Linked DNA regions of Lepisosteus oculatus. The protein of the gene in region 2 purifies or fractionates together with the protein of the main gene of each other region. This does not show direct contact. Links are inferred from orthologs where the notes say so. Each region holds a gene or a part of one and is shown on either strand. Other genes may lie near its edges. The genes, in order: eif2s2 and cdc123.

Evidence for each region.
Region 1: the proteins of cdc123 (region 2) and eif2s2 purify together in Homo sapiens (affinity purification with mass spectrometry; 4 studies listed by BioGRID and IntAct, counting the BioPlex papers as one, with this or other methods). This does not show direct contact. The link is inferred for Lepisosteus oculatus from reciprocal best matches to the Homo sapiens genes CDC123 and EIF2S2.

The regions. Positions count from the first base shown.
Region 1 is NC_090711.1:1,532,593-1,549,124, reverse strand, and holds the start of eif2s2 (eukaryotic translation initiation factor 2 subunit 2), read left to right. Parts: upstream 1-9,155; 5' UTR 9,156-9,280; coding exon 9,281-9,295; intron 9,296-10,505; coding exon 10,506-10,686; intron 10,687-11,146; coding exon 11,147-11,247; intron 11,248-11,701; coding exon 11,702-11,846; intron 11,847-12,155; coding exon 12,156-12,256; intron 12,257-13,216; coding exon 13,217-13,365; intron 13,366-14,795; coding exon 14,796-14,852; intron 14,853-15,097; coding exon 15,098-15,183; intron 15,184-16,180; coding exon 16,181-16,356; 3' UTR 16,357-16,532.
Region 2 is NC_090702.1:41,803,470-41,819,767, forward strand, and holds the start of cdc123 (translation initiation factor eIF2 assembly protein), read right to left. Parts: upstream 10,301-16,298; 5' UTR 10,179-10,300; coding exon 10,105-10,178; intron 9,857-10,104; coding exon 9,785-9,856; intron 7,656-9,784; coding exon 7,592-7,655; intron 7,011-7,591; coding exon 6,978-7,010; intron 6,581-6,977; coding exon 6,485-6,580; intron 5,933-6,484; coding exon 5,826-5,932; intron 4,664-5,825; coding exon 4,615-4,663; intron 4,105-4,614; coding exon 4,029-4,104; intron 3,311-4,028; coding exon 3,188-3,310; intron 2,465-3,187; coding exon 2,436-2,464; intron 2,281-2,435; coding exon 2,152-2,280; intron 969-2,151; coding exon 831-968; intron 1-830. Other genes in the region: nudt5 (ADP-sugar pyrophosphatase), read left to right, coding at 12,213-12,272, 12,628-12,695, 13,295-13,344, 13,737-13,844, 14,467-14,562, 15,070-15,180, 15,652-15,705. UniProt on the Homo sapiens protein: ATP-dependent protein-folding chaperone for the eIF2 complex. Binds to the gamma subunit of the eIF2 complex which allows the subunit to assemble with the alpha and beta subunits.

The DNA.
Region 1 (16,532 bases), on a different chromosome or scaffold from region 2:
GGGAGTTGAAAGTAACTTTGGGTGAAGTTTAGAATACTTGCTCGTTTTAGATAATGTGCGGATTTGTAATAGAAGCAGTCTGTTTAGGAGATACTGTCTTTTGTAGTTGAAATTTTTATGGCCACATCACATGCTGTAGGGTTACCATATTTAAAATCCTGGTCATGTCTGCCAGCCTGAGGGGGCAAAATGCAAGTCTCTTTTCTTATTGTATTTGTTCCAAACATCCACAGATGTTTGTGTAACTGTGTTGTACTGTTTTTCAGTCCATTCAGTCCATTTCCATTTACAGTATGACCTCTTATTGTGATTTTCCTTGAAGAGCTTGAGTTTGGGCTGACTTTGCCCATTTCCTCTAGGTGTTTTGAATACCTTATCAAGTTCCCACAAACCGCTCATAGTTCCAGGCTCCAGAGGTTTTTTCTTAAACTCTCTGTCCAGTCCAGGAATTACTCTGGTTATTCTTCTCCTGGAGTTGTGGTTTCCAATGTCTTTCTTGTGGTGTGGTGTGTGGAAAGCTGAAGTGAAAACAGTGGTCTGAGAAAGGTCTTAGAAGCATTACCTCATAATTATCATCTCTCTCTAGGGCTTGTCTGCTGATCGCCATGCTTCCTCTCTCTTCTACACAAGCAGAATGTCACTTCCACATATACAAGCAGCCTTTCAAAAAACAGCAGTCCCCATGACGATCTCTACAGTATCTCTTACATACAGGGGACAGGTTCTCTAAAATCAAACTACTGTGTGAAACCTAGTGAGGTGGCGTGAATCACATGGACAGGATGGGCTGCTGTGATCAAGCAAGCATGTAGTGTCTAAAAGAGCTTATTACTCACATTTACTGTATACAACTGCAGTGCGACATTTAAATATTCTTCGCCTTTATTTGTGTCATAGGATCAGGGAAGTTTTATATGCATACAGTATAATTATTACATTTTTAAAAGAAGTTTTATGCACAATCTGTCTCGGTATAAGGGGCTGCAACATTTTGATTCACCACAATGACTAAAGCAGTGACACAAACAATGACTAAAGCAATATGTTTGTAATAAAAGAACAAGTAAACATCAAGAAATATATTTTTGCAAATGTTAACCTGTTGTAGTCACAGAACCAGCTGGCTCTACAAAAGAAATACATTTCATTTAACACTTCTTATCAAAAATGATCCCTTGTATGTTGTTTTATATGTTATTGTAAATATTATATTTTATTCCTTAAACTAATGTGAATTGTGCAAATAGAACCTTAATATAAACTCGGTATTTTAAATGTAATGTACTTCATGTAGACATTTGCGAAACATTTGTTACTTCCTGTCAATTCAAAATACTATACTACTGTTATTTAATAAAACTATAATCCTGAAGTGAAATAAAAAATTGGAAGAAACTGGCAAACTTAAGCAAATTGATTTACAATATAAAGAATCGTACTGTACAGCATGACTTTAATCTTAATATTGGGATTGTGACAGAAAACGTTCAAAGGTAAGAACTGTAACGTCTGTAGCATCTTAGCTCCTCAGTGCTGAGCCACGTGTACAGACCTTACAAGAGCAACTGTACCTTTACCCCTTTAACAGGAAAGGCTGTGGAAGGGCCCTCCCACGGTTCTTCATAATACACAAGAATACAACCCAATTCAATTATGAGAATTTCAGGCCAGATTGAGAAAGATGCCAGCACATTCATTTCTACAACGTGACTTGGCAGTTTAATCCACACATTAATATATATGTGCGTATGGATAATTACAGGGTTTTCTTATATCTGTGTAGAGTCGTCTGTTTGAGAGTTTTCCATCTGGGTTCTCGCACACGAAAGATGAGATATTTTACTTTGTAAGTTTCTGAGGCTGTACTTCAAAATTTGGCATCTTGAAGTTATGTTTTTAACGTACACAGTTAAGAACAAATCCTTGTTGCACAAACGATGCTCACTAGCCCTGTGTTACATCATGTTTTCCAGTTATTCATTCCAACTGTTTTGTTTTACAAACATTATTAAAAAGTTGCAAACATGCAGGTAAAGGTTTATTCCATTCTTTCATAACTTAAACATAGCCTGGAATACAATTACTGTACACCTCCTCTTTACTGAGCCCCCCTCTCCCGACACTGTAGGTAAATTATATGGTGAAGATTCATGCATCTCGCTGCACACTGTCTCCAGCTTAACTCTCTTGACACAGTTAACAAATGCTTTTTTAATGAGCGTGCTTGTAATCAGTTACAATTCACTGTAAACAGTTCTAGAGATACGCACACTATGTACACTTGAAGTGTCTGTTTATTACTGTTTCCAAGCCTTTGATGTTAAATGCTCGATTACTTAGCGTTGTTTTCAACAGAGATTGTGGTTTCTTTTTCTTAGAGCGTTTTCAGGGAAGCTAGCAGTGTTGACAGTTTTTATAACTAATATTATGTGGTTTCGCCTGTGAAAATGCGTCACTGTTCTAGATTAATATACGAGTCTTGGCTGAATTTTTCAGGAAGCCAGATCTGTGTCGTAGAGTCACTGACGTTTGCAAGAAAATACATGGAATAGGCACACCTCACCATGTTTGTTCCTTTTGGCCACCTTCACAATAAACACACCCTATACCTAAATCAGAAAACCTTCAGGAGAAATACTGTTTCACTAACAATAAAACAAAACAGTCCTTATATGCAAAGGCCCTTAAGTGGCTGTCAGCCAATTGCTTCATGGATCCTAAACTAAATTCATGGTCTTTGCTAGTACTGCCCATTATTTCATGGGATTCAAAATGACCTCATGCCTGAGGTTGCAGAACATAGTCAGGATCAGGTGGATGTGATAAACTGACTCTGTAACAATCAGTTGAAAAAGACTGAACCTTCTCCTTTAACCCTGACTTTAACCCTGTCTTTCAACCATTCTCAGTTTTCACTGAAGTGTGTCTTAGTGATAACACAGGGACATGTTCCCACTCTCTGAAATATCATCACCTGCTGTGTCCCAGATCCATCACTCAGTTTGTGATTTAAAGTCACATGGTGGCTGTCTAGGCACTACTGGAGTTAAGTGCTCATGGGTCAAAATGTTACATGTCCATATGGTTTAGTTTCTTATCTATGTTCGCTGCAAAATGAAAGCTTAAACACTGGACATTTAGAAACAACTGTTTTGTCCTCATTTGTAATACAAATGGGACAGTTGTGAGAGGCACAGACTCTTGAAGTATTTACCATGGCTTACTGTAAAACAAACAAAAAATCATTTAGTGCTTTAGGCAGACTTGCTGATAAACCTGCTTTATTTTAACAAAACATTTCTGTGCATACACAATAGTTTATGACATGTTTGAAACATCATAACATGATTTATGAAGTATGATTTTTATTTCAGACTTCATAAAATGTTAGTATAATACTGTTATGACTCTCAGAAATCATTTCCACAGATGTAAGATAAGTAAAATAGAAGACATATTCAGGAATTTACTGTTAGAATGAATTCAGTCTGAAGGATGGCAGTTTAGATCTAGTTAACCAAAGAGCTGTGCACTATTTCTTATAATCTTACATTTTTGCTCTGATATAGTTACCCTGTGCTTTAGTCCTATCTAATATCCATATTTAATGGATATTTTTTAAAAATGAATTTTAAAAAACAAAACAGTTGTGTAATCGAATGGGGTGTTTTTTTTATTTAAACTACCCTTACTAGTTTTAATTTACTTGACATACAGTACCAGTTACAATTTGAGTTTAACAATTTAACAAAAAAAAAACGCATGTATTCATGTAGAACAAGTTATATTGGATCCAAAAGAAAGGTTTATTTTACTCAAAAATATTTACCACATCTGTAAGCAGTATCTATATTTACAGAGTGTGGCTGTTGTAAATACCAGAATTGCTTTTGGTTTCCTTTACATAATTACATTCTGTAGCAATTTCCAGGATTCTTCTTTTTTCTATTTTTTTCTGTTAGAATTGGCAACTTTCTTTAAAATGCAGAGAACTTAATTTTTAATTCTTGCATTCATTATTTATTGCAGTGACAGTGTTGTTATCAGGACGAACCATTGCTTGAGTGCTCCATTCCCGGTGAGTTTGGACAGATCACCAGACTGGATACCTGCCCAGCGGCCTCTGAATAACACCTGATGAGGGGCTTGAAAAAAGTCAGTGACACAAACCTGGGAACTCACAAACGGTCACAACAGAAACTGGGAGGTGCTTCAGAGAACCTCCAGCTGACATGGTGCTTCCACCTAGCAATATGAAACCCTTACAATAAAAAGGGACTTATGAAAATTGGCAAAGGAATAAAAGATTTTGCAGTTGTTTTCTTAGCATATCTGTTCTGAAGACTACTGTAGCCACTGCAAATAAACTCCAGAAATCAGCCTTCTATGTAAACACACAGTGCTTGAATATCGCGGTGTTATGTTATCAGATACACAGATTTACAAAAAATTTTGTGAGAACAAATTGCCGTCCAAATGAAAAACTCTTTGCCCTTTTAGAACATAAAAGGCTTGAGCTCTTAGTCCTAGGGAATGACAAGCAGACCTGTGAGGATTACTTTTATCACATGCAATGAAAGCATGCCTTTGAATTATAGTGAAATAGAAGTAACCTAGTAAATGTTTCTGCATATCAGGCAAGACTCCCGGTGGGACCTGTGAAATTGCTTTGTATACTGAATATCATTTGATTGGAAAGATGTATTTTGTTGTTATTTTAATCAGAATTTCCAGCCATTACAAACTTAATAATTTAGGAAATCTTATTGCAAGTTCATTTTTTTAAGTTGACTTAAATTTAAGATGACTCATAAAGGGGGAGACATATGTTCCATTCCATTCATTCCAATACCCGTAATTTTAATTAGAAAATCATGTCTGAAAAATGTGGATGTCTCATACTGTAGCTGACAGCTACAGTATGAGAAATACTGCATAACTGAAGACCTGGGTTAAAGGGTTACTTAGTGTTCTGCAGGATTTATAGCTCAAAGCAATACTTTAATGTAGTTGTCTCCAATGATGTCTATATCATAGGGATGCCTTCTTGATTACTGTCATAAGTAGCTTTTGTCAGTTCGGACTGATGGGATTTATTCTTGCTTTATCATTTTAGTTAGGATCTGTTAAAAATCAAGCCACAGTCCTCTATCCTGCTCTAATGATGCTCATTTATCTCTGTTGTTCTACTCCTCAGCTGAGTGAAGACTCTGGTTAAAACTACATAACACCCTGAATTATCTCTTTCTGACAACAACATGATCATTTACTTTTAAGAATAATCCTTGAGAGTTTGTGAGTCAGACCTGTAATAGTTATTTGATTTGTCACTGCTCAGCTGCCAGAAGAAAATATAAAATCTTGTGTGGCTTCAAAGGCTTTTGTGTCCTTGGTTCGATTCCGAAGGCAGCCCTCAGTGTGAAGTTTGCATCTTCTCCGCGTGGCCACATGTCTGAACTGGTGGTGTGCCGGTTTACTCCCTCGGGAATCTGCAGTTCTTTTCTTTACTCTCTCTGTGTGGTGATGGACTGATACTCCAGGAGTCATCCCAACTTGCCTATTGTCAGCTGGGTGAGGCTCCAGTTTGCCATGACTGCACTGGACTTAGTGGTCATTGAAAATGGACTGCCGGATACTGTAAAGTACTGAACAATTCTTCCGTAAGCTGAGAAGAATCGAGGAAAAGGAATTTATGCTCAATATCATGTTTAGTTCAAAAAGCCAGACATTAGGTCCCCCTTGCATTACCTCAATTACCTCTGGGGAAAACACTACACCACAGTCACTCAGACAGGGATACAATGTTTCACCCCACTTCCACAGCAGACTTTGGCAGATATAAGCTGCTTTACAGAGCTCTAGACAGAGGACATACAGATATAACAGCTCTAAACATCATGACAGATTCATAACACGGAAGGTAGTACTAACACCGCTGGTATACCCCGCCTACCCTTGTGTAAAGAGGGAGTTCAGTCTTAGGACTTGAATGACACACTGCAGTGTGTGGAACTACTACTGTAACCAGACTGGGACCCCTATCATCAGGAGGAGGGACTGCCACTGGCAATATAGTGTCAGCACTAACACAGCAGTGCAAACCCAAATATTTAGGGTAGCTATAAATATGAGCAGTATGATCAGCATTGAAAATTTTCAAGGGCTGTTTTTCTAAGTTTTTCTTAAGAATTATGCAGCTATGCAGCCAACCTAAACCATTCCTGATTTAAAAAAAAGGGTTTTATAGACGTGCACCATAATTACAGGAATATGTATTTTGTTTGAAAAAGCAGAACACTCCACTTTAAATAAAGCATCTCAGTTCCCACGAGCTTGACTTCCAGCTCTTTGCACTTACACAGTACATTCCAAAGGCAAAATACACATGTGCTTTCTGACACACAGAGCGCCTGCACAATATCATCTCACTCTTCATATGTCAGTGGTTTTGAGCACTGAGCTCCTTGGTTCACAGACTGTACTATAAGAGGCAAGCCCCATAGGAAGCTATGTGCAATTAAAAACATCTGGAAACTGTGAGAGCCTTGTTTGAAATTGACTCAGAGAAGACAATTTCCAATGGCTAACAAAGCAATTTTTTTACTTGACGTACTAGCTGATGTTTTCTGTCAGAACTGATGGTTAACATTTTAAATATTTTTGCAGATTACATTTAGAAAAGAAGGAGCCTGTTGAGCAGGTGACCTTTTGGCAATCGATATATATTAGAACAACTATATGTATAAATATGTTTTAATTCATACATAATTCTCTGTTCTAACTGATAACTCTGATACTTCTGATTCGGCTGATGTTTTTATGAAATATATGTTGTTGAAGCATATATTGTTTTAATTAAAACCATTCATTTTCTAGCCCCTTTATCCAATACAGGGTCGGAGGGGAAGCAGCACCTGTCATGGCAAGCAACAGGCACAAGGCCGGCTACGCCCTGGATAGGACGCCAGTCCATCACAGGGCACATACATACTAGGGCCAATGTTTCCAGCAATCAATTAACCTATGTCTTTGAGCTCTGGGAGAAAACCAGAGCACCCAGAGGAAACCCACATGAACGTGGGAAGGACATGCAAATTCCACACTGACAGTGCCCCAAGAACTGGAGCCAGGACCCCGACTCTGCAAGTACCAACTGTACTAACCACTGTGCCACTCTGCTGCCATCCATTAAACACATGCTAAATATAGATACCTCGACCATCTCCAAGATGGGTCAGAAGTAGAATATATATATATAAGACCTCAGCAGTATCAGGCATGTTAGTGGAAGTACAAGCCCCTGGCTCTGTGCACAGAGTGTGAGACCGCTACCCTGGCTCTGTGCACAGAGTGTGAGACCGCTACCCTGGCTCTGTGCACAGAGTGAGAGACCGCTACCCTGGCTCTGTGCACAGAGTGTGAGACCGCTACCCTGGCTCTGTGCACAGAGTGTGAGACCGCTACCCTGGCTCTGTGCACAGAGTGAGAGACCGCTCCCCTGGCTCTGTGCACAGAGTGTGAGACCGCTACCCTGGCTCTGTGCACAGAGTGTGAGACCGCTACCCTGGCTCTGTGCACAGAGTGAGAGACCGCTACCCTGGCTCTGTGCACAGAGTGAGAGACCGCTACCCTGGCTCTGTGCACAGAGTGAGAGACCGCTACCCTGGCTCTGTGCACAGAGTGTGAGACCGCTACCCTGGCTCTGTGCACAGAGTGAGAGACCGCTACCCTGGCTCTGTGCACAGAGTGTGAGACCGCTACCCTGGCTCTGTGCACAGAGTGAGAGACCGCTCCCCTGGCTCTGTGCACAGAGTGTGAGACCGCTACCCTGGCTCTGTGCACAGAGTGTGAGACCGCTACCCTGGCTCTGTGCACAGAGTGAGAGACCGCTACCCTGGCTCTGTGCACAGAGTGAGAGACCGCTACCCTGGCTCTGTGCACAGAGTGAGAGACCGCTACCCTGGCTCTGTGCACAGAGTGTGAGACCGCTACCCTGGCTCTGTGCACAGAGTGAGAGACCGCTACCCTGGCTCTGTGCACAGAGTGAGAGACCGCTACCCTGGCTCTGTGCACAGAGTGAGAGACCGCTCCCCTGGCTCTGTGCACAGAGTGAGAGACCGCTACCCTGGCTCTGTGCACAGAGTGAGAGACCGCTCCCCTGGCTCTGTGCACAGAGTGTGAGACCGCTACCCTGGCTCTGTGCACAGAGTGTGAGACCGCTACCCTGGCTCTGTGCACAGAGTGAGAGACCGCTACCCTGGCTCTGTGCACAGAGTGAGAGACCGCTACCCTGGCTCTGTGCACAGAGTGAGAGACCGCTACCCTGGCTCTGTGCACAGAGTGTGAGACCGCTACCCTGGCTCTGTGCACAGAGTGTGAGACCGCTACCCTGGCTCTGTGCACAGAGTGAGAGACCGCTACCCTGGCTCTGTGCACAGAGTGAGAGACCGCTACCCTGGCTCTGTGCACAGAGTGTGAGACCGCTACCCTGGCTCTGTGCACAGAGTGTGAGACCGCTACCCTGGCTCTGAAGCCCCTGAGCTGCAGCCAGTCCCTACGCATAATGCATGATGAGAACAGGAATATGAGACATACAGCACAGTAATTGCAGTAAAAGATCATGAATGGCTGCAGGTGCAAAACTTATTCATAACCAATTTGTTCATCAGGTTTTATTTTTTGAATGTTTTTAATGTAAGTGTCAGAATGTTCTTGATTTGTTTACCAATCATTGCATCAGCGAGATGGGAGGAAATGTGGAATAATGCTCAGGAATAGGTTTCTTAGAAATTACTGTTGTTGGACATGTGTGGTAAGGGAATGGTGATTTTCAGGCCTACCACAGATTTCACTGGAATAAGGGATGATGAAATAGGCTACATGTTTGTCACAACTCCCATGTTGGCAATAAGACATTTAATTTGGATGCATTTATTTAGTAAAACAGGCTGATTTTTCTTCTGTTCAGGGGAATCTAAAATAATTGAATATTACATTAGCTTATTTAAATAAAGATGCAAAAATGCAACCAAAAAAAACCCCCCGCAGATTACTCAGAAGAACCGTACAAGCAGCATCTTCCAATGTCCAGGAGCGCGACAGGAAAGAACTACAAGTCCCGCCTGCCGCGCCGCGCATGCGTATTTGGGCCCGGGGCAGCGGCGCCTGCGCGGGTTTCGAAAGCTGACGCAAGCAGCCCGAGGCGCTGAGCGAGAAGAAAAGAGCGAGGACGGAGCAGCGCGAGCGAGGAAATTCGGACAGGGGACGACAGGACGCGAACATGTCTGGCGACGAGGTGAGTGGGGAGCGGAGAGTGTCGTTACGCCGCTGCGTGTGTGTGTGTTGCCTGCACCCCTCGGAGGCCGAGTGAGGGAGGTTGAGTAGCGGACCCGGCGGCGTGAGGCCTAGTCCCCATGTGAGCGAGCGGCCGCCGGCTCCCCACGCCTGCAGAAACCACCCACACGCGTGTCTTCCTGGCTGCACTCACTCACACACACACACGGGAGAACGCAGCTCCGGGAAGGCTCGCCTCTTCGTGGTAGATTTACAGATGAGCTGGGGGGGATTTCCTACACGTTGTCGGAGAACCCAGGGTCGTCTCTCGATGCGAGTTACACGGCGTTTTTGCACTCCCAGGCGAGCAGGCCGTGGCGTTGAACACGTCCCCTGCCTCTTTTGGCAGTTTAGCAAAGTCATTTTCCTGCGTGTCTTCCCGCCTCCCCTCCCGAAACGCCCAAGCGGGGCGACTCTGAAGCCCCCAGCAGCCTGTCGAGAGGGTGTGGGAGCCGGGAGGTGTTCGTGAGCTCAGAAATACCGTCTAATCTTCAAAACCGGGCTGTGAACATACTCCCCTCCCTTCTTTTTGTACAGAACAAGATCATCATATCAGTGTAATGTTTCCACCAGTGGCTGTGAGTGGGTGCCCCTCGTGTGTGCCAGGCTTGTGTATTGTTAATTCGGTGTGAGGCTGCTGGGGAGGGAGGGGGGGTGACCCCTGACATCCGACCCTTGTGTCCCGAGCAGAGCAGTCTACCTGCACGTTGAAGGGTTAATAGGCCGGTGCGCTGGAGCAAGTCCCCCAGTGCTCACAGTCAGCTCTGTGGATTTCACCAGTATGAAGGGTGAAAGGTGAACCAGGAGAGACAAGTATAGACTACAGGAAAGAGCTCAAAACCAAGAACATGAGGCTCTTTTCACTAATAGTTGTGGGAGTGTGGAGCAGGCATGCTGAAGCCGAAGCTCCTGCGTACCAGCCGGGCGGGGTGGGGTGCTCTCGTTTGCAGCCTTTCTCGTCATGACACTGGGAGATGGAAACGGTGATCTCTCGGGTGTTGCTGGGATTCCCGATGTCTCCTCTAGTGGGGCGCCCGCAGCTGGTGCAGTGGAGGTGTGCTGGGGCGCGGTGTCAACTCTTCCTGTTGCCGTGTGCAAGCCGTGGCCGGTCACGGCCCGCGCGCCCCCCCCCCCCCCGCCAGCCCTCACGGCGCTCTGCCCTCTCCCCGCAGATGATCTTTGACCCCACCATGACCAAGAAGAAGAAGAAGAAGAAGAAGCCCTTCATGCTGGAGGAGGAAGGGGGCGACGCCCCCAGCGAAGACACCCAGCAGCCCGAGGCCAACGTGGCCGAGCCGGAGGGGGGCGAGGACAAGGACCTGGAGTTGGACGAGGACGAGGGCAGGAGGAAGGGTGAGGGAGCGTCCCTGCCCCCCTGCCAGCGGAGGAGTGGAGCTGGGATTGGTGTTCAAGAATATTCCCACTAACGTGACCTTCACAGCTCTCATGCCTGTGGCTAGTTAAGACGCATACATATACACGGCTGAGTTAGTTTGACTCTGTTGCTTCCTGTATACTGTTGACCTGCTTCTATTACAAAAGCATAAATTCATGCTTTAATAAAATTCTTAGCATCTGCTATGTGACAGATTTAAATGATCAGTTGTGATTTTAAATGAGCTAATGGTGTTCGATTTGGTTGTTTTCAAACCCAGTTCTCTGTTTAGGTTGTTTGTTTTTTTTCCACTATGCCTTGGAAAGGGCTGTTATGCGTTTTCTTTCTCGGTGTTTTGTCGAGAGCAGAGTCTGAAAGCGTTTTGGTATTCTTTTCAGAGTCTTAATTTTTTTTTCCCCCCCATTTGAAAATTTACAGAGGTGTCAGATGATCTCGATGACCTGAACTTCTTTAACCAGAAGAAAAAGAAAAAGAAGGTTAAAAAGACGTTTGATAATGACCTTGAGGAAGGGATAAAGGTCAGTACCAGAGGAGCACCACTGTGCGTGTTCACATGCGACATCCGAGAAACATGACCAGAGAGGTGGTGCTCCCAGTTTGTAATGAGAAACTGCTCCCCTCTTTTGTGTTAATGTTGTGCATTGGAATAGCTGTTTGTGTTGAGCACCATGAAACTAGAATATCTGTTGGTTGTATTTGTGACTGTCAGGAGACTCAAAGCCAATTTTATTCTTAATACTTAATTTGCGAGTTCAGTGCTGTGCAGAATTCAGCCTATGTTGTAAAGGAGACTTGGCACGGTTGATTTTTGACATGCAGAGCTGTAGTTTGCTGTGGTTTCCTGCCTTCATATATCGGACTGGAGGGGGAACCAAGTCCTAGATACAGAAGCAGGCATCCCGTTCCCTCTGGCCTGATCAGAGCTTGCGTGGGGTCTCTTACTGTTCTCGCGCTCCACCCTGCTGCCCTCAGGAGTTGAAGATTGAGGGGGAGACAGAGGCCATAGAGGATGATGACCTGGATCTGATGCTGCCGACCAAGAAGAAGAAACCCGTCAAGAAGGTGGAGTTCCAGGACGAGAGCGAGCTGCAAGACCGCGACGACGGTAGGTCTGACTGTACGTGCGTCTCGCCGGGAAGTCTGACACGCACTTAAACATGTGGAAATTTCTGGCCAATTGTCTTTTGAAGAGAAACACACGTTGTTTTATGCAGTTATAAGAGAGGGTGCAAATAGCTATTTTGTTTTCAGTTACGTTACTTTTTTTTACAGCAGCGCTGACAGTGCTGGTTTCTGAGATTTGTGCCTTTCAGCCGGTCCCCGGCGCTCGGCACGTCTTGCGGTCACCTTGCGTCTTCTGACGGCCCCCCACAGGGAGGGGGGGCTGTGTGAATGGGTTAGGTGATGCCGCTGACTGTTTTGGCAGCACCCGAGGACGAGGACGGAAAGAATAACGACGGGATCACGTTCAGCGCGCAGACGGGGCCGTCCTGGGCTGGGACGGAGCGGGACTACACTTATGATGAGGTAAGGAGCTCTGCCCACCGCGGCGCAGTGCCCATGCCGGCTCTTCGTCTCCGCAAGCGGCAGGCGCCTCACCTCTCCGTTTTCAATTCGGTTTTTAGCTTGGGTTACGATACACCGGGGTCTTTTTAACCCATGTTTTGAGGAATATGCTTTTATCAGACATTCAACCCAGACTCTGACTATTTGCTTAGTAAGAAACCTGAAGACACTAAGTGTATGGCTATAAGCCTCACCCCAGGGTCCTGTTTAAATACTGCTCTGGGTTTTGCAAAGTCTGTCTCTTCTTAATTTAGCAGTTTGGCAGTTTAAAATAGTTTCTCACTCCTTCCCCTGATCTGCTGTGCGGGGGAGCTGCTGTGTTGCACGAAGGGGTTCCAATCCTGTCTGTAAAGTGTTGTGCGATTGTGTTTGGAGCGGTGGGGTGGCTCTGTGGCTCAGGATCTGTGGCTGGAAGGTTACTGGTTTGTATCCTGCGGTCGGCAGAGGAATCCTACTGTGTTGGGCCCCTGAGCAAGTCCCTTAACCCCAACTGGTCCAGGGGTGCTGTATAAATGGCTGACCCTGCGCTCTGACCTCAAGCTTCTCTCTCTGTGTGTGTCTCTCATGGAGAGCAAGCTGGGGTCTGCGAAAAGACAAATTCCTAATGCAAGAAATTGTATAGGGCAAATAAAGTGATCTTATCTTATCTTTTGATCCTTGTTATAAACTGTGAGCAAATCATCGCCTGAATCTTTTTTTATGCATGACTTCAATCAAGAACAGTTATCCCACTAAACAGGAATAGTATAGGAATAGGAAAGTACGAATCTGGAATTCAAACTGGGTTAATATTGCAGTTCAGGTTCTGAATCCCATGCAGCGGGATGGCTGCTCTCCAGGCCCCCGAGAGCTGTACAGGAGGTAGGAGGTAGGGGCCGCTGCCTTGCGCGCCTGTCCTTCACTCGATGCTCTCGTCTGCAGCTGCTGAACCGCGTCTTCAACATCATGCGCGTGAAGAACCCCGACATGGTGGCGGGAGAGAAGAGGAAGTTTGTCATGAAGCCGCCGCAGGTGGTCCGTGTGGGGACAAAGAAGACGTCTTTCGTCAACTTCACGGATATCTGCAAGCTGTGAGTCCTTCCCTTTCTCTGGTGCAGCTTGACCGTTTAACCAGTTTTTTATTATGGACTGTGGTATTCTCATCTGGCCTGTTAAAAGAGGCAGGCGTTTCAGTGTGACACTTTACCTCTAAGAATGACAGTGCAGCACATATCAAAGCATGCTGCAGAGAGACCAAGGCACACGTCTCTAGTGTAGCGATACCTCAGTTTAACGGAATAGCTTTGTTCCATCTTGTTGGTTCACTACCTGGAACTTAACCAGAGACACCAGGAGGTGTTCCAGCACTTGTGTAGTAGGAAAATATAATTTTCAAAAATAAAGGAAATGGGTTTTAACACATGAACATTGATGTTTAGATCTGCTACTAAGGTCAGTTGATTGCTAGATAACCAGGTGTGGTGCGCCAGGTGTGGGCGACTCACGAGCATCTTCTCCGATTGGCCTCCAATGATGCGAACAAACCCCTCTGCACCCTTTCTGCTGATGCAGCCCGTCTCTCTGTTTTTAATATTTAGAGTTGCTTCACATGATTTCTTGGGTTTGTTTTTTCAATACTTTTGCAAAGAAAAGATGAGCGTTGTTCCCAGAGCGCTAGCAGAGGTATTTTTTCTTTTGCTGAGTAGATACCTTTGTTCAGGGCACCCTTAAGAGCTAGAAAATTTAAATTAGTTGCAAGTATCAGCCACAATAGTATGGGTACAGCAATGAAAAAAGTTGCTGATTAAAACAAAAGATCTATAAAAGATGACTGGTCGCCAGATTATGGCACAAAGCCTACTGTAGGGAAATAAACTGAACTGTTCAAAGTCATCGTACACAGCCCAAGAAACGCAAGCTGTCACAATTAAGGAAACAAACTTTCAGCTGTTTCCAAAAACAGCCAGTCGTCAGCTGTGGATTCAAATACAGTGAGTAGACCTTTTCTAAGGATCATTGCTGCTTTAAACTAATATGTTCTGTGATTGAAAAGGGAGTCAGATAATGGAGGTTAATTATGTACCTGCCTTTGACTGCGCTCCCTGAATGAGACGGGTTGAAAGTAAGTTCTGCTGGCTGCCAGTATTAGTCATTGTTCATGTGTTTGCCTTTTTGCTTCAGTGTGCTGTTCATACGTCTTTGTCTTTTATCTTAGACTTACTGTGTGTAGGAAAAACGCATCTTTTCCGCATTTCATATCGAATTGAAGTGATATCATGCTGGTTTCTTTGCAGTCCACTCTCTGACCCTGCCCTCTAACCCTCTGTGAAATGAGCTTATTGAAATATGGACGTTCGTGTAAGCGGTGAAGTGGAAGTGTGCTGCTGTGCGTTTTGATCCATACTCCCAACGCCCATTGTTTGAGAATGCCGAAAAGCAAAGGGCTATTATTTGTTCGGGATGCGGTCCTTTTCACCAGAGCTCACTCTGACCGCTGTTTCCTTTTCTCTCTTGTTGCTAGATTGCATCGTCAGCCCAAACATCTCTTAGCCTTTTTATTGGCTGAGTTGGGAACGAGGTAAGTTACTGCTGCTGTGTGTCTCCTGTTCGTCTGTGATCTGGGGAAAGAGAATAATGGACTAGGAGTAGAACCTCAAGTCCAGTCCACTCCTTGAGGGAACTGCTGATCACTGATCCCCAAATTGGTCATTCCTGTTTGTCTAGAGAAACCTGTGACAACCTGGCTTGGCCAAGAAATTCTTGTTTTCCTTTTATACTCTTAATGATGGGTTGGATTGATGCACGTTTGTGTCATCTTCACAGTGGTTCCATAGATGGAAACAACCAGCTTGTGATCAAGGGAAGGTTCCAGCAGAAACAGATCGAAAATGTGTTGCGAAGATACATCAGTAAGTGCGACTTCAAAGAAACGTATTTGACTTGACATTGTTTTTATTTTATTATAAGTCCTAAAAATGCTGATAAGGAAAGCTGTTGTGCACTGTCATGCTATGTTTTAGAAGTATAGACCTATATTTCATGGTATGTTTGGCATTTTGATTAAGCCAGCTGTCCTTTCCTTAACCCTTTTATGGTCTGTGGAGATTTAAAGTCCTGGCAAGACTTTGACAGTAGTGGAAATTAGTGATTTGAGGGCTCATAAGGCCTGGTGGGACAGCAGAGTTTTTGTCTACTGACATACTACAGGTGGACACTGGCCAGAGTTAATCTCCCAAAGAGCCAGATGTGAATTTTGTGTCCCTAAAAGAGAAATTTAATCTCAACTGATTTTTTCACACTCTGCAAAGTATGAATAAAAAAAAAGAACAAAAGAACAGGTTTTATAATTTTACCAAACATGGTTTTCAATGGGCGAGTCATTGGAGCTGAATCTTATCGATACACCCTGCTCCTCATCCTTGAAAAATGTAGAAAACTGATAATTGTATGCATTGAAGTAATCATCATATGCACACCTTGTATAAAACAAGCCTTTGACCAGCCTTTAGTTAGCGTATTCAACATGGATACTTTCACCAGTGGTGCGGAGAGACCTGTCCTGTTCCCAGAAAATATTCTATATATATAAGTAATATATAGTGCTCTTTTTCAAAACGAAATCAAGCCATGAAGGCAAGGCTGAAACAGCGCTTGCTGTCGTCAGAGGGACTGGATTTGGAATAGCAGGCTACCAGATTAATTGTGACTCGGTGAGAACTGGGATGCGGTACGTTCCTGCCAGAGTTTGGCCTGGATGCTTTTGAAAACCCTCGGCCGGGTTGTTTGAGGGCTAGCTGCCGCTCGTGTGTGTGTCGTCCGAGCGGCCTGACTGCGTGGCGGCCGCAGAGAGGCCGCCAGCCCGGTGCCCCTGGTGTCTGACGGCGCTGTGCCCTGTGTGCCCCGCAGAGGAGTACGTGACGTGTCACACCTGCCGCTCCCCGGACACCATCCTGCAGAAGGACACGCGCCTCTACTTCCTGCAGTGCGAGACCTGCCACTCCCGCTGCTCTGTGGCCAGCATCAAGACCGGCTTCCAGGCCGTCACGGGCAAGAGGGCGCAGCTGCGCGCCAAGGCCAACTGACCCGGCCGCCCCCGGGGCAGGGGCGCCTGATGGGACTCCTTCTCCAAACTGTGCGGGTGGGCCGGCGCCGGTGGGAGCCAAGCCTGGCCAGGACGGGCCCGGTGGTGATACCCCCCCCCACTCCAGCGGTCCTCCGCCCGCCCCGCATGCTACACCACCGCCTGTGGTCACCTGGT
Region 2 (16,298 bases):
ATCACCTTCCGAATCATCAGAGACATGAATTTCAGGACACAAGCTGCTTCGGTGTGCGTTCAAAGGATAGTGTAAACCAGTGATTCCCAATCTGGGGGGCACTAAGTGCTTCTGGGAGTGGAGGAGTGCAAGAAAAAATTCTTAATGTCAAATCCATTAAAAACCTAGGTGTGTTTATTCACCTCTTTCGTTCATCCAGCTGTTGAGTAGCTACTGTAACTACAGAAACTACTGTAAGTAGATTTCAATGCTTGTTGGCATTACTCATTGCCAAGGAAAGAGCATACCTGTGTGTCTATTAAAGAAGAGACACAACGTTTTTTATCCAAGAGGTTATCCAAGCACGTAAAAGTAATTTCTTTGTTTCACAGTGCAGTGGTGGTGGTTCAGCTACTCCTCTCACTCCTCTTCAGGCGAATTTGCCTTGACTTTGAGCGCCAGAGCACACTGCTCGTCTTCTGGTCGCATTTCTGACTACACTCGCTGATGATTCAACACTGTACTCATTATTACATGGGAGAAAGTTCCTTGTTTATTCAATTATTATTATTATTAGTAATATTATTATTATTATTGTTGTTGTTGTTATTCAGACAGGGCATCAGTTTCAGCAACTTGTCTTGCAATGTGGATCCCTACTCCCTGAATGAAAGAAGAAAATGAATGGCTTCAAGGCTTCTGGAAAATATATGATGATTTGTCTTCACCTTCCTTTGTCAGATGTATGGAGATCTAGCATTAGCCCACCTTCCAACTGTCTTTCAGGCTTATCTGCATCTTCCCTGTAGAAGCATGAGAGTGGAAGACAAAAAGAAGCGAAGGACTCTTACCAGCTTGAGGAAGTCGATAAGTTTGTACGCATCTTCCCCGGTGGAGAGATCTACGAAGTCCCTGGGGATCCGGTAGCTGAGGCAGGGGCTTGGCTGCACCGTCACCTCACTGGTGGTGTATCGGAATGCTGGGGCGTCCTGTCGGACAGTCATGACACAGAGTGTAAGGCACAGCGGCCACTGCACAGTGGCTGATTAACCTTATTGGGGCATCTTTGAACACCATCGAAGACAAGTCAAACGGAAGTGTTTCAAAGCTAGAAATCATCATATTCATACCCAAAATTACGTTCCATTCCATCATCAGAAAACATAACAGTATACTTCACCATCATCTGTAACCAAACTACTGCTTTTTTCCCCCAAAAGGGGAAAAAATAAGAACATCAGAACAAGAGGAGGCCATTCGGTAGTTAATAGCCAATTGGATCTCATCCGGCTGTTTCATCACAGAAGCCAGGGTATCGCTGGGTATCTTGTTCTGCACTCCCACAGTCCTTTCCGAGTGCTTTCCAAGCCTCCACAAGTGAACCTTTAATGTCCACTGCAAATGTCATAGGGAACCAGCACAATTTATATGGGAGTTATGTGCTGATGCAGAGTACTTTAAGGTAGGACATGCACTACATGTTAGCATAAAGTAGCCTTAAACGTAACTTCTCATCAGATGTGATTTCATGCTATCTGTTTGTGCTCTGCTGCATTTGTATCTTCTTACAAATAAATGTATATGTATTCAAATTTTGAAAAGAATGTGCATAATTCTGGATTATTTTAAAGCTGATCTTTAGCGTAGAGGACATATATATCGTAATCAAATGACAACACCATGGTTTCTATTTCCATCAAGGGTCTGATTTCAGCAACAACATCATCATTTGTGCTGAATTCACTGACAAACAATTCACCAAAGCTGATGTTTAATGCCTATAAGCACAGCCTCGGTCTTGTTATAGTTTTGTTACATCAATATTTTTATATCCAACACCTGCAGCAATCGTACCTGATTTATTATATAAGTAAATATGAGTGCTAGAAGCAAAAAAGTAAGGAAATTAAGACATTTACAGTATGTAAAAACAGTATAAAGGCTATGTACAGGGTCTACACCATGGGAGTCAAATTTTGGTCCTGGAGGGCCAGTGTGTCTGCAGGTTTTCGAGATCTTTTTATAAAAGGAACTCAGAAAACAAACACAAAGACACACAAAGGCTCTCCAGGACTGGATTCATCTAGGTAGACACAGCATACATCCACTGACGACTGGGAAAGTTAAATTCTCTTTTTCTTAATTGCAGGCTCATCTACCACAAATTCGCACCTGATCTGTATTTTCCCCTTCAACGTGGTCCCCTCTGAGACTGTTTCCTGAAGTCAGCTCTTCCCAGGTGAACAGCAACGAGTCCGTCACCTCACCAAACGGGTTCAGATCTATCAACCACACCCTACCCTGAAAAAACACCATCAGAAAAAGACCGAGTTCAAGAGCTTTCCTTAGCACACATACTGCAGAGAATGTAACCTTTAACCAGTTCACAACCGAAGCTTTTACTACTTTCTATTTTTGTTATTAATGAAAGCACAGAATATAAAACATTTACTAACCTGACTATCTCTGTAGACATCAATCACAACTGTGGAAAAAAACAACATTTTATTTGATAATGAAAAATAACTTTCTTCTGTCTTTTAGACTCACTAATCATTCTTTCCTTTTAAACCCAATAAATTCATCCAGGTCACAGCCACAGATATTAGAATGGTAATCTAAAACTCAGCATGACCATAACATCATGTTCCTTGATCATATACTTTTGTGAGGGTATATGCAGTCTGGGGTTTTTCTTTGGCAAATTCAAATTTACAGATACAAAAGAAGGAAAGAAACCAGTGATTCTAAATTTATGAAGGAAGCAGAATTTAAAATGGAAAAATGGCAGGACAGATGGATGGAAAAAAGGAGCAAAAAAGCACCAAATAATAATAAAAGCTTATAATGAACTTTTCTTATCTCTAATGTCATTGTGACATTATCTCTTATTTTGCAGTAATTCAGCTAACATTACCAAGGGACCTATAAAAAGGTAAAATGTACAACATAAAAATGGTATATCCAGATCAACGGTCAATGAAAAGAAGAACTGCAGAATGTCTTTTTCAGTATTTCACAAACTAGATTAATGACACCTGACATTGCAACACTAGTAGATTAAGCTTGTCAGATACTGATGTCAACAATGACACTGTCAAGAGAAAGGTGTAAAACCCTGAAAAAGTACATTTAATGTTCAGGATTTTCATTAAGTATTCCCTACAACACACTTGTTACGGTTAATTAATTATTTCCACATACTTACAGTCCTCATCCAGGAACTTGTACTGAATATTGTCCCTGAAGAAATCCTGGATTGATCTACAAATGTCATCTTCCTGATGTGAAATGTGATCATAGTGCTGTGTGTAATCTCTCTGTGAGATTCCTAAAAAGTAAAACACATCAGGACCTACTCTTGTATAACATTCGTAGTTACAGATCATTAACCACCCTTACTTGCTTCCGTCATACATTAATATACAGTATAGCACCAGCAGGGTACAGCTCCTATAGCTATCTGCCAAGATTTTCCACTACTTCAGTGATTTACCAAATTTGGTGGAGATTTGGGAGGCCAGTTGAGTAAATAAACACAAGGGCCTGTTCTGATCTATAAAGCCATAGGACATTCCATTCCAGACATTATAAAACAAACAAGAAACAGCAAACAGAGAAGCGCAGTCCTTTTATTTTGGAATACTATGGTAAGCAATAGAAAATGATATTTCCAACCTTTGGGATCCACTAAACACTTTAAGATGTTCGATACAGAAGACATCATGTCAAGAATAGGTGGATCTTCATTTTTATTAATGTTATTTTTTCTCGTCTGAAGATTCAATGACAATAAATCAATGCCCACTTTCTCTTTTAATTTGATTCTGTGCAGTTCAGGACTCTGATATATATTAGCCTTTCAAGTTGGGACAGTGGGTATTATTATATATGTAATAAGCACAAATTTCTAACGTTTCTGTTTATATTTGTATAGACAAATAATAAAACCTCTTAATGAATTCCAACCCCTCCTTTACAACATCCACATCCAAGGGCATAAAACTCTACAGGATCACTGCACTTATAAAGGAAAATACTCTCCATACCTATTAGCTTGTTTTCCTTGACAAAACATCTGAACTCTCCACCAGGGATCAATTCACACCATTTTCTCAGGACCAGCTTGAAAAACAAAATATTTGTTTAGCATATTAAATATGTTAATAGCTGTATGCTCCCCCATTGGAATACCTTCAGCAAATAGGATATAAATTCTCATCTCAGTGTGCTGCGACTTTTAATATAAGGTGAGCTGAGACAACTGCAGTAGAATGAGACCTTAATTTCTCCCATTAAAGGCACCCCCTCAACCTGTTACTGTTACTGTCCCCTCCCATGCAAAAACACTTCTTAACTTTCCTCACAGTATGTTTTCAGGTGCTGCAGAGTCATTTATTACTGTAAAGCAGTTCCACTTGGTCAGAAATCAGATCTGAACGAGATCTGTCTGGGATGTAGTAATTTAAAATTACTACAATTTGTATTTCATGTAACAATTAACATGCATGCGATGAGTTCAATGAAGTAATCAGCATTAGCCCAAGAAAGTAAGATTCACAACACAGTGAAAGGGAAATGGGTGCTTGATGAGGCAGGGTAGAGAATGACACTGCCTTCAGTACAGCCACCCACCTCGTAGTTTATTGATGGATCTGGGGAATCATCATTACAACGAAGGAACCTGAAAACAACACGTTGTAAACAAGTTTACCCTGTTAACTCTGAAATAATTAACAAAACAAAACAAAACTAATACACGAGGCAATGAGGCTGAGAATTTTGTAATGCACAAAAGAACTATGATTGTTACTGATTCAGTAGTCAAATTATAAGCCTAAACTTTGCAAGTTCCGCGCAGCAGTGTTATAAACTCAACAGGAAGAACTGTGCACGCTCCATATCTGAGCCTACCTTGACTGGTGATGGAAGAGGACATTTTATCAGAACAAATTCATATTCACAATGATGAGCTGGAGCCCCATTTTTTACAGCAGTGAAATGTACTGGAGCGCTTTGAGTGAAATGTTTTTGCTCAAGGGTACACTAACATCGTGCCACCCAGGATCTGAAGCCAAGATCCTCTGGTCTCAGTCCAAAGCACTAAACACAACTCCACGCTGTTTTTGAAGTCAGTCCACCTTGTGGGGGTCCAGGCAAAAAAAAAACTAATCAAAGTGAACATGGATTCATCTCACAAAACTAATTTTCTTCCTTCTTCTTTGGAAGTTCAATAGTCCCAAAGCAGGCAAGACACGGGAAGAGAAAAAGGCCACTACACATTTTTTGGGAATGAAAAGCTGCCTTTTATACTCTGAAATAAATCACTGCACTCTGTGGACATTGCCACTTACTGCAGTCCTATTCTGCTGCACCTGAAAAAAAAAGATCTTCACAAAGGCAGCAATCAATACCAGTGAAGAGCTGAACACAGAGAAAGCGAAGGTCACTATGAGACTGTGGGAATGAAATCAGGAGATGCAGGCTGACCTTTACCATTAATGGATAAAGCCATTCTGGGGTAAATTGTTTTAAAATCCCAAACTCAAAAGGCTTTGTGGACACTGAACATATTGATTTTTAGATTTTCCTATGGCAAAGAACACTAATTTTAAAATTGGATGCCGACAAAAGGGATTTGAATGAGTTATTAGAAGTTAATGCATTCAGGTCAGTAGCGTTTAGTCGTTAAAATACAGTACTTAAGGGTATGAGATAACATTTGGGCTTTAAAAGACAGTACTTAAGAGCACGGGAATAGCTCCTAAATATGTTGAAACAGCACAATGATTATAAAATCTGCTTATTAATAATAGTCGTAAAGCACTTCAAATAGGAGCACTTACGGCTGAGTGAAGTCATGGGTGATGAAGTCTGAACTCTTGAAAAGCAGAAAAATGTCACTCAGGCTCTGGCATCTTAAAGAACTGTTCATTGCAATCCAGTTAGCATCCTACGTATATACAGATATATAAGGAAGAAAGTAAAATAATGCACAAAAGAAGGGTTATTTATTCTCTCTTTAAGTCTTCAAGGTTTTAAAGTGAAGAATGCAGGTTTGAAATAAAACCTTTCTGAAAATAATATCAGAATAATATCAGAAGCATGGGCATATTATACTAATCACTGAAAAGTCATATCTTTTATATGGGCTTGAATAGGGACTACATTAAGAAGTTTAACAGCCTTGTAATAAATCAAGGGTAATAAACAGTTGTCAGAAGGGATGGTTTTTACCTCAGTTTTGCCTATGAAACAAAACCAGACTGAATGTAACTGGACAATTCACCAAGATTAAGGAAAGTAAACCCAGGTGGCTTGTCAAGAATATGTCATCCAGCCGTTTCTTGAAAGATATCGGGTATCTGCTTCACAAACATGTTCCATGCTCCCACCACCCTTTGGGGAAAGAAGTACCTCCAGTTCCCAGATTTAAATGCATGTTGGAGAAACTAAAACCAAAATGTCCAATACAGTAAAATCTTTACTGATATTTAAGCCTTACCCTTGGAGCACTCCAGTTCAGCTTCGGGAAGATGCTGCCCCCAAGAGCGTTGATTGCTTCCTGTACTTTGGCATGGAACTCGGGGAATTCAGGAGCCTTAACCACAAAGGGAAACTATCAGGGCTTTCAAACTTAACACAAACAAAAGTTATCACTATACATCTTTAAAGAACTAAATATACAGTCAGGATGCCTTAATTTGTAATCGAGGCAATTGTTTATCATACTTAAAGAAGAAATACAGATAACAACTACAACTACAAACAGATGAGTTTTAATGATTGGTATATCCATTACCTAACTAGCAAGGAGAATGATACCTTAAGCAAATATGAAGAGTTGCTCTTGCAGTCTGTACACTTGGAGCAGATATAGTAAACAAAGGCACCTATATCTAAAAGACTTAGTCACAGTGTAATAGAAACGGTTAACCGATTACCATTTAAGCCTGCTGATAATAAGCTAACTCAAATGAAATATTTTTAATACTTACAGTAACCGTTGATGTAGTCTCGTCATCTGACCACTATTACAACAAAACCAAAATATATATTTTAAAAAAAAAACAATCGACAAGATGTCCAGAATTCTTGCCCCAATCTCCATTTTGTAAACTTATGGGATAATATCTATAGTGACAGACTGAGCAGAGCCACACAAGCCCTGGCTAAGAGAGCTGGCTTATAAGGTTCTAAACAAACACCTTCAAGCTCGTCTTGATCAGGGTATTGTCAGGTTAAACCTACATACCAGTTTAACACGTAATGTCTTCTCAGACAATAAGCATCTAGTGTTCCTTTAACAAAAGTACTGAACTTGCCTTTAACGGTCCTAAGGCATTAGAAACTATTTGTAACTGGGAATGTTTCTGGATGGGTTAAGGAAAAATATAAGACATTTACTACTTTAAATTACAAAACTAAACATACATTTATTTATGTTATAAATTTGCATGACATACTGTATATTAATTAAATATTGTGCATTAAATATTAAATACTTTATTTGAAAAAGTATAATATATGTATACTGACAGATGACTATATGACTATATATTTGTACCAACAGTAGCTATACCGCACATGAATACTATGACTAAAATTGTACCTGTATATCGTCTTCCTCATCACAGTCACTATTGTTTGTCTGAGAATTCTGAGGGGGATCTACTCTGCAAAAAACAGAATAACAGACTATTCATATAGCGTTAAAAAAAGAGCAAAATTACAATAACTTATTCATTTATACAGTCCCTTGTCTTCCTGGAGAAACTAAAACCTCAAAGGATGTGACAACAAAAGGAACAAATTCAATCTGAAAGATGCATTGTAGCATTTCTCAAATTGTCTACTTTAAATTCCACGACGATTGCATGGAAGCCAAATGAAAATGATTTATTTGAAAGATTTACAAGACCAAATGTCAAGGTTGTTGGTGTCTCTCCTGTGCCGTGTATCAGCTTAGGATTTTTAAAGACTGTAAACATAAGAACACACAAAAGGTTACAAATAGAAAGGAGGCTGTTCATCCTTTCTCACTTGTTTGGGTGCTCAAAACCAACTGATCTCATCCCATCATTTTCTGAAGGAAGTGAGGGTATCAGTTTTAACAAGCTTGTTCCTGACTCCCACAAACATTTGTATGAAAAAGAGCTTCATGGGCTCTGATTTACAGTAGATGCACTGTCCCCGGGTTTCACCTTTGTGACCTCCGAGTCATTTTTCCCTGCTGACCCTTGACCCTCTCACATTCTTTTGTACAACAGGGCATTTACTGGAGCAATGTGAGTGAACTATCTTGCTCAGAGGCACAATAGCTGTATTGTAGTCGAGATCTGAACCCACAATGCTCCAGTCTGCAGTCCCTAACCACTTCTCCACACTACTGCCCTAAAACATACAGCATGAAATAGCTGACAACAGATAAAGATGAACAAGAATAGATACTGAGAGACAATTTCATGGTAACACAGAGATGGATTTCTGAAACAGCGTATAAATTAGGCAAAATGGGATGGAGCAGAATTGTTGTGGGGAATTCTTCATCAGAGGAGCAGGACACAGTTTTGTGCAGATTCAATTTTATTGAGCTCAATAAGGACAGCAACATCCACTGGGTCTGTCCTGCAGAACAGAGCCCCTGAAAGAGGTTTCCAACCCTTATATACTGTACAGAAAGAAGTCTTAGTTTCACAGTTTTATGGCTTGTTATGTATATTTATTCTGTCCTTTGAAATGTAGCAAAAGTTGAACTGCTTTGTCCTATTTGAAGTCCTGTCCTTTGAGATGCAGCAGACATTGATCTGCTTTATCATGTTTATGGTTTGATTGTTTATGGGTGTTGGTCCTACCTTTTGTTATGTAGTGTAAGTCACTGGAGCTGTGCAAGCAAGTCAGCTTCATTATATCTTAGCATGACCTTTGTTAAAGGCTAAATTAGCAGATCCCAGCACTTCCACACTTCCACACAGTGGTTAAACAGTAATGTCCCACTTCAGGTAATAAATAACCGGATAAATCAGGGTGGCCACATGGACATTAAGAAGATGGAACACAATGTTAACATATGGACGTGTCAAGGTTGGGGAGGATTTCAGCCTTGGCCACAAAATGGGTTACGACAACAAAAATAAATAAATGACTAACACAGTCAGTAATAGCAGAGAATTAAAGGCTCCTCTTAGAGGGACTGAGCTGTGATTCATCACGCTGGCCAGGCGGATCCCTGAGAATAAGGCCGGCCGAGATCTAGTCCCATAAAGCTCAACCTGAAGTGCACGCAGCCAGTTAGCGTCCATGCTTGCTGGAGCCATCTGCTGGTAATCTGCGCATACTACAACTAATGGAAAACAAAGCTCCCAGTTAAACAGGCAGTCTGGGCTTTCTGACCTGAGTCAGAATTTTACTTGCACACGTACATAGTGCGTGCGTGTAAAACGTAGAATCATGTGCTAATAATCTTCTTTTAGTCAAGTTATGAGTCATGGACCCATATAGACAAAATCATGATCTTCATGGATGTTTTTGATTTCATTTAGCCCTTCCACTATAATTCATTACAATGCTTGACTTCACATAACTTGCTTAACAGATACATTTCTGAGTTACACTGAATACACCAAACAAATGACAGCACTTTCCCGTGACTTAAAAATTAGCCTATTAGCAGATTCCTCATATAATTCAGATTTTCTATAGTACCAGTAACTACGAAAAACAGATAGGAATTGTGAGATGTGGAAGATTCAAAGTCTAGAGTAGATCTGAAGAGCGAAAAAACACCCAGCCTAGACAAACGTACCTCCCTGAAACCACAAGAGTGCCGTCATCCAGTAAATAATCGATCACATTCTGTGGCAAAGGAAGAATTAAACTGTAACACAAAAACAAAGAGTGTTAACACAAGCATTGGGTATTAATGGTCATTCATGCTTATTACATAGACGGAAAAACTGAAAGTCCGAGTTCTTCTTAAAAAATAATTTTAAACTTAAGCGTCGATAACAAGCACTGCCGGTTCAGTAACAAATTAGATGATATCAGTGTAACACATCAGCATTGTAAGATCAAGCTCTACGCTGGGATTTTAATAATTACATACAGGAAAAGTAAATGTCATACCTTTTAATCGTGTGCTTCTTGAATAATGTGTACCACACCGAAAACTGACAGTTTACAACCTGCTCTTTCTTCATGCTTCGTCTATTGACAGGAAGTGTCCGATAGAAAACAACTCCTCCACTGAGGAGAACAGCGGTCGTACCTATCGGATTCCACCAATCTACATATATTTAAAACTTTTTTTTCAAAGAAGCTTTGTGATATTCATATTGTTAAAATATTTATCTTATTAACTTATATGCGTGCATTTTGTCTAAACTGAATTTTATTAGCTGACGCGAGATTCAAGAAGGAGTGGCGCTCAGGGGGAGGTGTTTCGAGTTGCACTACGTTGGGGGGAATGGGTAGCATTAGTGCAGTGCTGTGATCACACTGATGAAAGTATCTTGGTTGCTGGCGAATAAGGTATGGATGTCTATTATGTTCTGTGTATATTAATTGTAATCGACTGTTTTAATAATGTTTCTTCTTTGGGTTATGTTGTTCAGAGGATTGAATTATTCAGATCACAAGTATCATGCGCTTTAAACGGTTGTTTAAAGTATTAGAGTCTACTAGAAAAGAAATATTCCTCTTCACTCCGTTTTTCCCAAAAGCTGAGGTAATCACTGCTAAGAGAGCTATTTATCAGCGGTAACTCTGCGAGGCTTTATTGAAGCCAGGTGCAGTGTACCGAGGGGTAGAAAATGTAAGATGAATGAACCGTACAGGCAGTGGTAGTAATACGTTTGTAGATTGTACTGTAGCTGAATCTCTGTAAAGTACATCCAAAAAACATTGGGACTCCCTGTCTGAATTAAGTTCATGATAACAATGAAGAGGCACCCAATTCCTACGACATGGAGATTAATCATCGTTTTTTATTCATAAGAAATCAAAAAAATCTGTCATGTTTTATGTTTGTAGTTCATAATCCTAAAATTGTCTTGACTGAAAAATCTGAAAACGTCTTAAGAAAGATTTTTTGTAATAAGATTTTTTTACATAGCACGTCTCACGTCATAATAATATACCTTTACAACAGTAAATGGATAAAATGAGACATACAGTAGCTTACACTAAAAATACATACAATTGGTGTATATATTTGTTATGCTGCAAACGTTAGATGCATTACAAATATGCTTTTTAAAAGAGTGGTCAGGGTCAAGAATAATACGAAGAAGCTCATGTTCAGTTTCAGCTCTGTGTAGAGATCTGTCCTAAATCATTTCCAACCCTGAAACACTTAAAAATGTTAGCATTTATTGAACTGATGTAGGGAACCATAACAACATAAGATGGGGTACAAACCCAGCTGTTTCTTGAATAAACCAGGGTATTGGGTCCAACAACACAGTTTGGTAGCTTGTTCCATGCTCCCACAAACCTCTGTGTAAAGCATTGCCTCTTGTTCTGTTTTCAATGGACTTCCATGTAGTTTCAGCTTATGTACTTTTATTATCCTGGATGCATTTGACTACATCCCTTTGTATTATCATCCATTGTACTTAGAATCTCAGGTTAGCCTAATTCTTAGTGTAAACTGAATTGTGTGATATTCCATGGTATAGTAATGTTCTTCTCATCTTCACTTTGTCGGTGATGTTTTTTTCTAATGTGCTATCTTTCCTTTCATATTAAAACATAAACTGGCAATTTAGAATACAATTTTTTAATTAATAATCGCAAAGAATGGGTCTTTTTCGGGTTAGATATTAAACGAAAACCAGTACCATTAATGGTGAATTTATTATTTGTTGTTTTTGTTTTGGTTACTTCACAGATAAGTGCATCTGCAGGCTCACCAGAAAAGTGTAGGCACAGTTTCAACTGCTTGTTTGTGAGGCAGCAAAAAAATGGAACCCTAGTTTTCTTTTGTGAAATAGAGATTATTCAATGTATGAATGTATGTCAATTACTTGCTAAAAGTCTGTATTAAGGCAATATTATTTCCTGTCCAGTTATGACACAATCCTCCACTGATACATGAAAAATAAAAATATTATTTTGACCATTTGTTTTGCTTGTCCTTCTTGCTAGGCAATCCTGCTGCGATAATATTGATTGCAAAGTTGCATCGTCTGGACTTTGAGACTGTCACTGCTTCATTCACCAGGGCTACAAACATGAGCCACGAAGGGGGTGCTTCATCTAAGAGCTCTACATCGTCAGTCCTTAAAGAAGAGGTGTGCAAACCATTGAATAGGAACACTTAATCATCCTTATCTTCTTGTTATCTCAGGACATCTTTGTCAGTCAGCAGGATTGAGTGTAATTTTAAAACCGGGATGGAGACAGAGCAATCAGTGGGTTTCCACTAAACAAAGCAGATTTGATTAGATGTTATTTTCTGTTTTTCATTGACGAATGTTATCATGGGCTTCACTTGGGAATTCGAGAAAGTCAGCTGAGTGATGAGTACTTTTGCTTCCTATATATATGAAAGTATGACAGAGCGAGGAAGGCCTAGTAGTCAATGTAGTAGGGGACTATTCATCCTATTAACCTGGACTAATGCATAATACAATGCTTTCTGTACAGGTAATTACAGAAGGAAAATGGGTCAAATTTGAAAAGACCACCTATGTTGACCCTTCTGGAAATGTAAGGTAGGTTTGATAGAAATGTTTCAGTAATTGTAACATGGTAAAAAAGATTAACTTTCTTATTTGGTTTTAAATTTTCTCAGAAAAATTAATCCTCCTTATTACTGAATCATAGTTTAGCCTGAAGAAGGCTCCACGGCCTAAACATTGTGTTTTCTTTTTTCTCTTTTCAGCATGGAATAAACCTATTACTTGTTCCTTTGCAGCCTACACATGCTGACACAGCTCCCCACCTAAAGTGTATATATATATTGTTCTGGGGTTGAAAAAACATAATTCTTGATAGATCCGACTTTTGGCAATATCAGACAATTCATCATCCCTATTATTCTGTTAAACCAAGGGTTTACTGTCTCTAGAATGGGTTACTTACAGTTACTATAGTGATAAAGTGATAAAGTGAGTACTCTACATGGGAAAATACTTAAAGTAATATCTTTCGTTATCTTTGTGCAGTTCGTTATCATGTTGAGTAAAGGCATGCACCTGGCAGTGCATAATTGGATCAATTTTTATAAACAATTAGCTGCAGTATGGGAAATGGTGAAAAGTAATTGCAGTTTTTTAACTTTTTCATCAGTTCTGTGTTTGTCTTGAATTAGAATCTGGGAAACGGTGAAGAGGACAACAAAAAAGAATTCCTCAGCTGACGGTATGTAAATTTGTAGGTTAAAGTGTATCTGACACTGATTGAAAGATCAAATGGAAAAACTGTGCATCTAGTACTGTATGTATGTTGAAAACGTTAAATCTGGTGGCGTGTTGGCGCAGTGGTTAGCTGGACCCTGCATTCAGTGCTGTGTGCGTGGAGTTTGCATGTACCACCTGCGTTAGTGTGGGTTTCCTCAGTCCAAGACAGATTGGTACAGTAAGTTCAACGGCGTCTGGGAAAACTGGCCCTTTTGTTGCTGTGTGGGAGTTTGTGTCTGTGAGTGCCCTGCGCGGGGCTCTGCGAATGCCTTGTGCCTGTTGCTTGCCTATGCAACCCTTTGTTGGATGGAGTGGAACGAAAATGTTAATCTTCTGTACTTTACTTCCAATTAGGAGTGGGCATATTTGCCGTTCTGAAAAGAACTCTCCATTATGACTGTGTTGTAATGGTAAAACAGTTTCGGCCGCCAATGGGGTGCTACTGTCTGGAATTTCCAGCAGGTAAAGTTCTGTTTTCTCTTTTCTCGCTTTGTACAATTCTAAACCTTAAATTGGAATGAATTTAAATACATTTTCATGGTGCAATTGTGGATTTTAATAAAGGCTTGCATTTTGTTTCAGTTATTAAATAAATCCTTTTGGAACAGGAAGAATGAATAAATTGTAAGGTCTCCTAAGAATATTTCCAGTTGAAATTACTGTCCACGGTTTGTCCTCAAGTATTAAGAATGTAATATAATATCAAGCCTCATGTTTCTTAAATGTTCTTGGGTTTTTTGTGCTACTGGTTTCTTCATCTCATTCCATACACTCTGAAGAACATTCTAAACATCGGTACTTTATAAAGAATGTTTAATAATTTCAAATAAAAAATACATCATGTGATTATCAGCAACCCCCATACTTTTCCTAATGAATAGCGAATCTTTACCAAATTGATTTATGTACAGTGAAGGGGTTAGATAGAAATTTGAAAATGGTTTTAGCAGAAGGGTGATTTCACCTCTTTCTAGAAGACTTTCTGTGAAGTTTGTAGTTTTGTTAAATCAAACCAGGCAGCTTTCACTCTAGAGCCCTAAGGCTTCTTGCTGTACGTTTTGTGAGAGTGTTTATAATCTTTTAGGCCTCATCGATGAAAATGAAAGCGCAGAAGCTGCAGCTTTGAGGGAACTGCAAGAGGAAACTGGGTATAAAGGAGAAGTAGTAGGAATTTCTCCAGGTAGAGTTTCTGTGTGTGTGTTTGGCTTGTTGTAAATATAACTGTTTCCCTCACAATTCTTAGTTCATAATCCTTCATTTTCAGTAAGTTTGTGTACTGTATTCTATTCGCAGTGATTCTGAAAACCACTACCTTCAGACTTACAGTGAAATCAGCTGATTATGATGTAAAAAGTTCATAGGTTTACAAGCGTTAGTAAATTTTGACGGTGGGCACTGAAGATTTAAAGTCCTGGTAAAAGTGTTTATCTGTAATAATATTTAAAATATATTTTTGTTTCAATTTCTGGAAGGCAGATTGCAATACTTTGTGTTTTAATTTATACTGGTACTGCCAGTTGCCTGTCTTCCTCTCTGGATTAGGCATTACATGTAAATTCATAATGAATCTGTTAAATAAATTCTACAGCTGTAGGAATCATAGGGATGTGATGGAAATGTCTATTTTACGTTCTAGAAATATATTTTTTCTTCCTCGTCCTTGAATACATTTTTTATTTCTTTTTAGTAACTTGTATTGATCCCGGTTTGTCAAATTGTACAACTCATATAGTCAGCGTTAACATCAATGGAGATGATCCAGAAAACATCAGGCCAGCACAACAACTTGGTAAGAAAGGCTTTTTTGTTTTTGGACTGTATTTCCAAATTTTTTATAAATGCATCTTAAAACTCCTCTAAATAACTTTTTTTTTCTTCTCTTTCAGCGGAAGGAGGTATGTTTTTGCTTTACATATTTCAATGGGAGTGGTGCAGCAGTTAGCAGTGCTGCCTCAGTTTCAGACCTGGGGTGCTGTTTGTATGTCCGCCCCATGTTCCCCCAGGTACTTTGGTTTCTTCCCACAATACAAAGACATACTGGTAGATTAATTATGGCCCTCAGTGTGAGTGTGAGTGTGTGTGTCTGCCCTGCGAGGGACTGGTGTCCTGTCCCGGGTGTGCCCTGCCTTGCACCAGTTGCTTGCTGGGATAGGCTCTAGTTCTCCTGTGACTGTATTGGATTATATGGTTAGAAAATGGATGGAAGGATATCTGAATGCCATAAATTGACAGTTTTGAGTGACTGCTAATTCTAGTTTGCTAATTGCAGAGTTTGTTGAAGTACTGCTTATACCTCTACATCACTTTCAAGACAAAATTAATGGTAAGTGTTTTTTAAATACACTTTGTTCCGTATTCTGCTTAGAACATTAAATGTTTCCATTTCTTAATGCAGTAGCAAGTTAATTAGTATAGAATTAATCAATCTTGGTATTGTTTTATTTCCTTTGAGAAACTTTTCTCATCTAATTGCATATTAAAATTAAAACTAATTCTAATTCTGAATTGGAAAGTGTTTGTCTTTAGTCTGTTACAATATCAGAAGCAAATGTTAATATCAATATTATCTATTGCTAGCCTCAGAAATAGTGCATTGCTGAAGTATTCAGACTCTTGCAGTTTTTTTTGCTTTAAAGCTTAGTCGGGACACTTTGAATTAGCCATTATTTGAAATATACAAAACCTACTTCTTTAAAGCAAAAAATAAAAATAAAAATATTTTTAACAAATGACTCGTCAACAGTTTATCAGGAAAACCAGCCCGTTCTGAATGTCAGAATATGGCACTGTGCACACTTGGAAAGTTTGATTTTGTGATGTACATTGGAGGTTTTACAAGTTTCTGTGTTCATTTTTCTTTCATTGTGGTTTGAAATGCACTCATCAATGCCGATTCTTTCTAACCCCAAAATATAA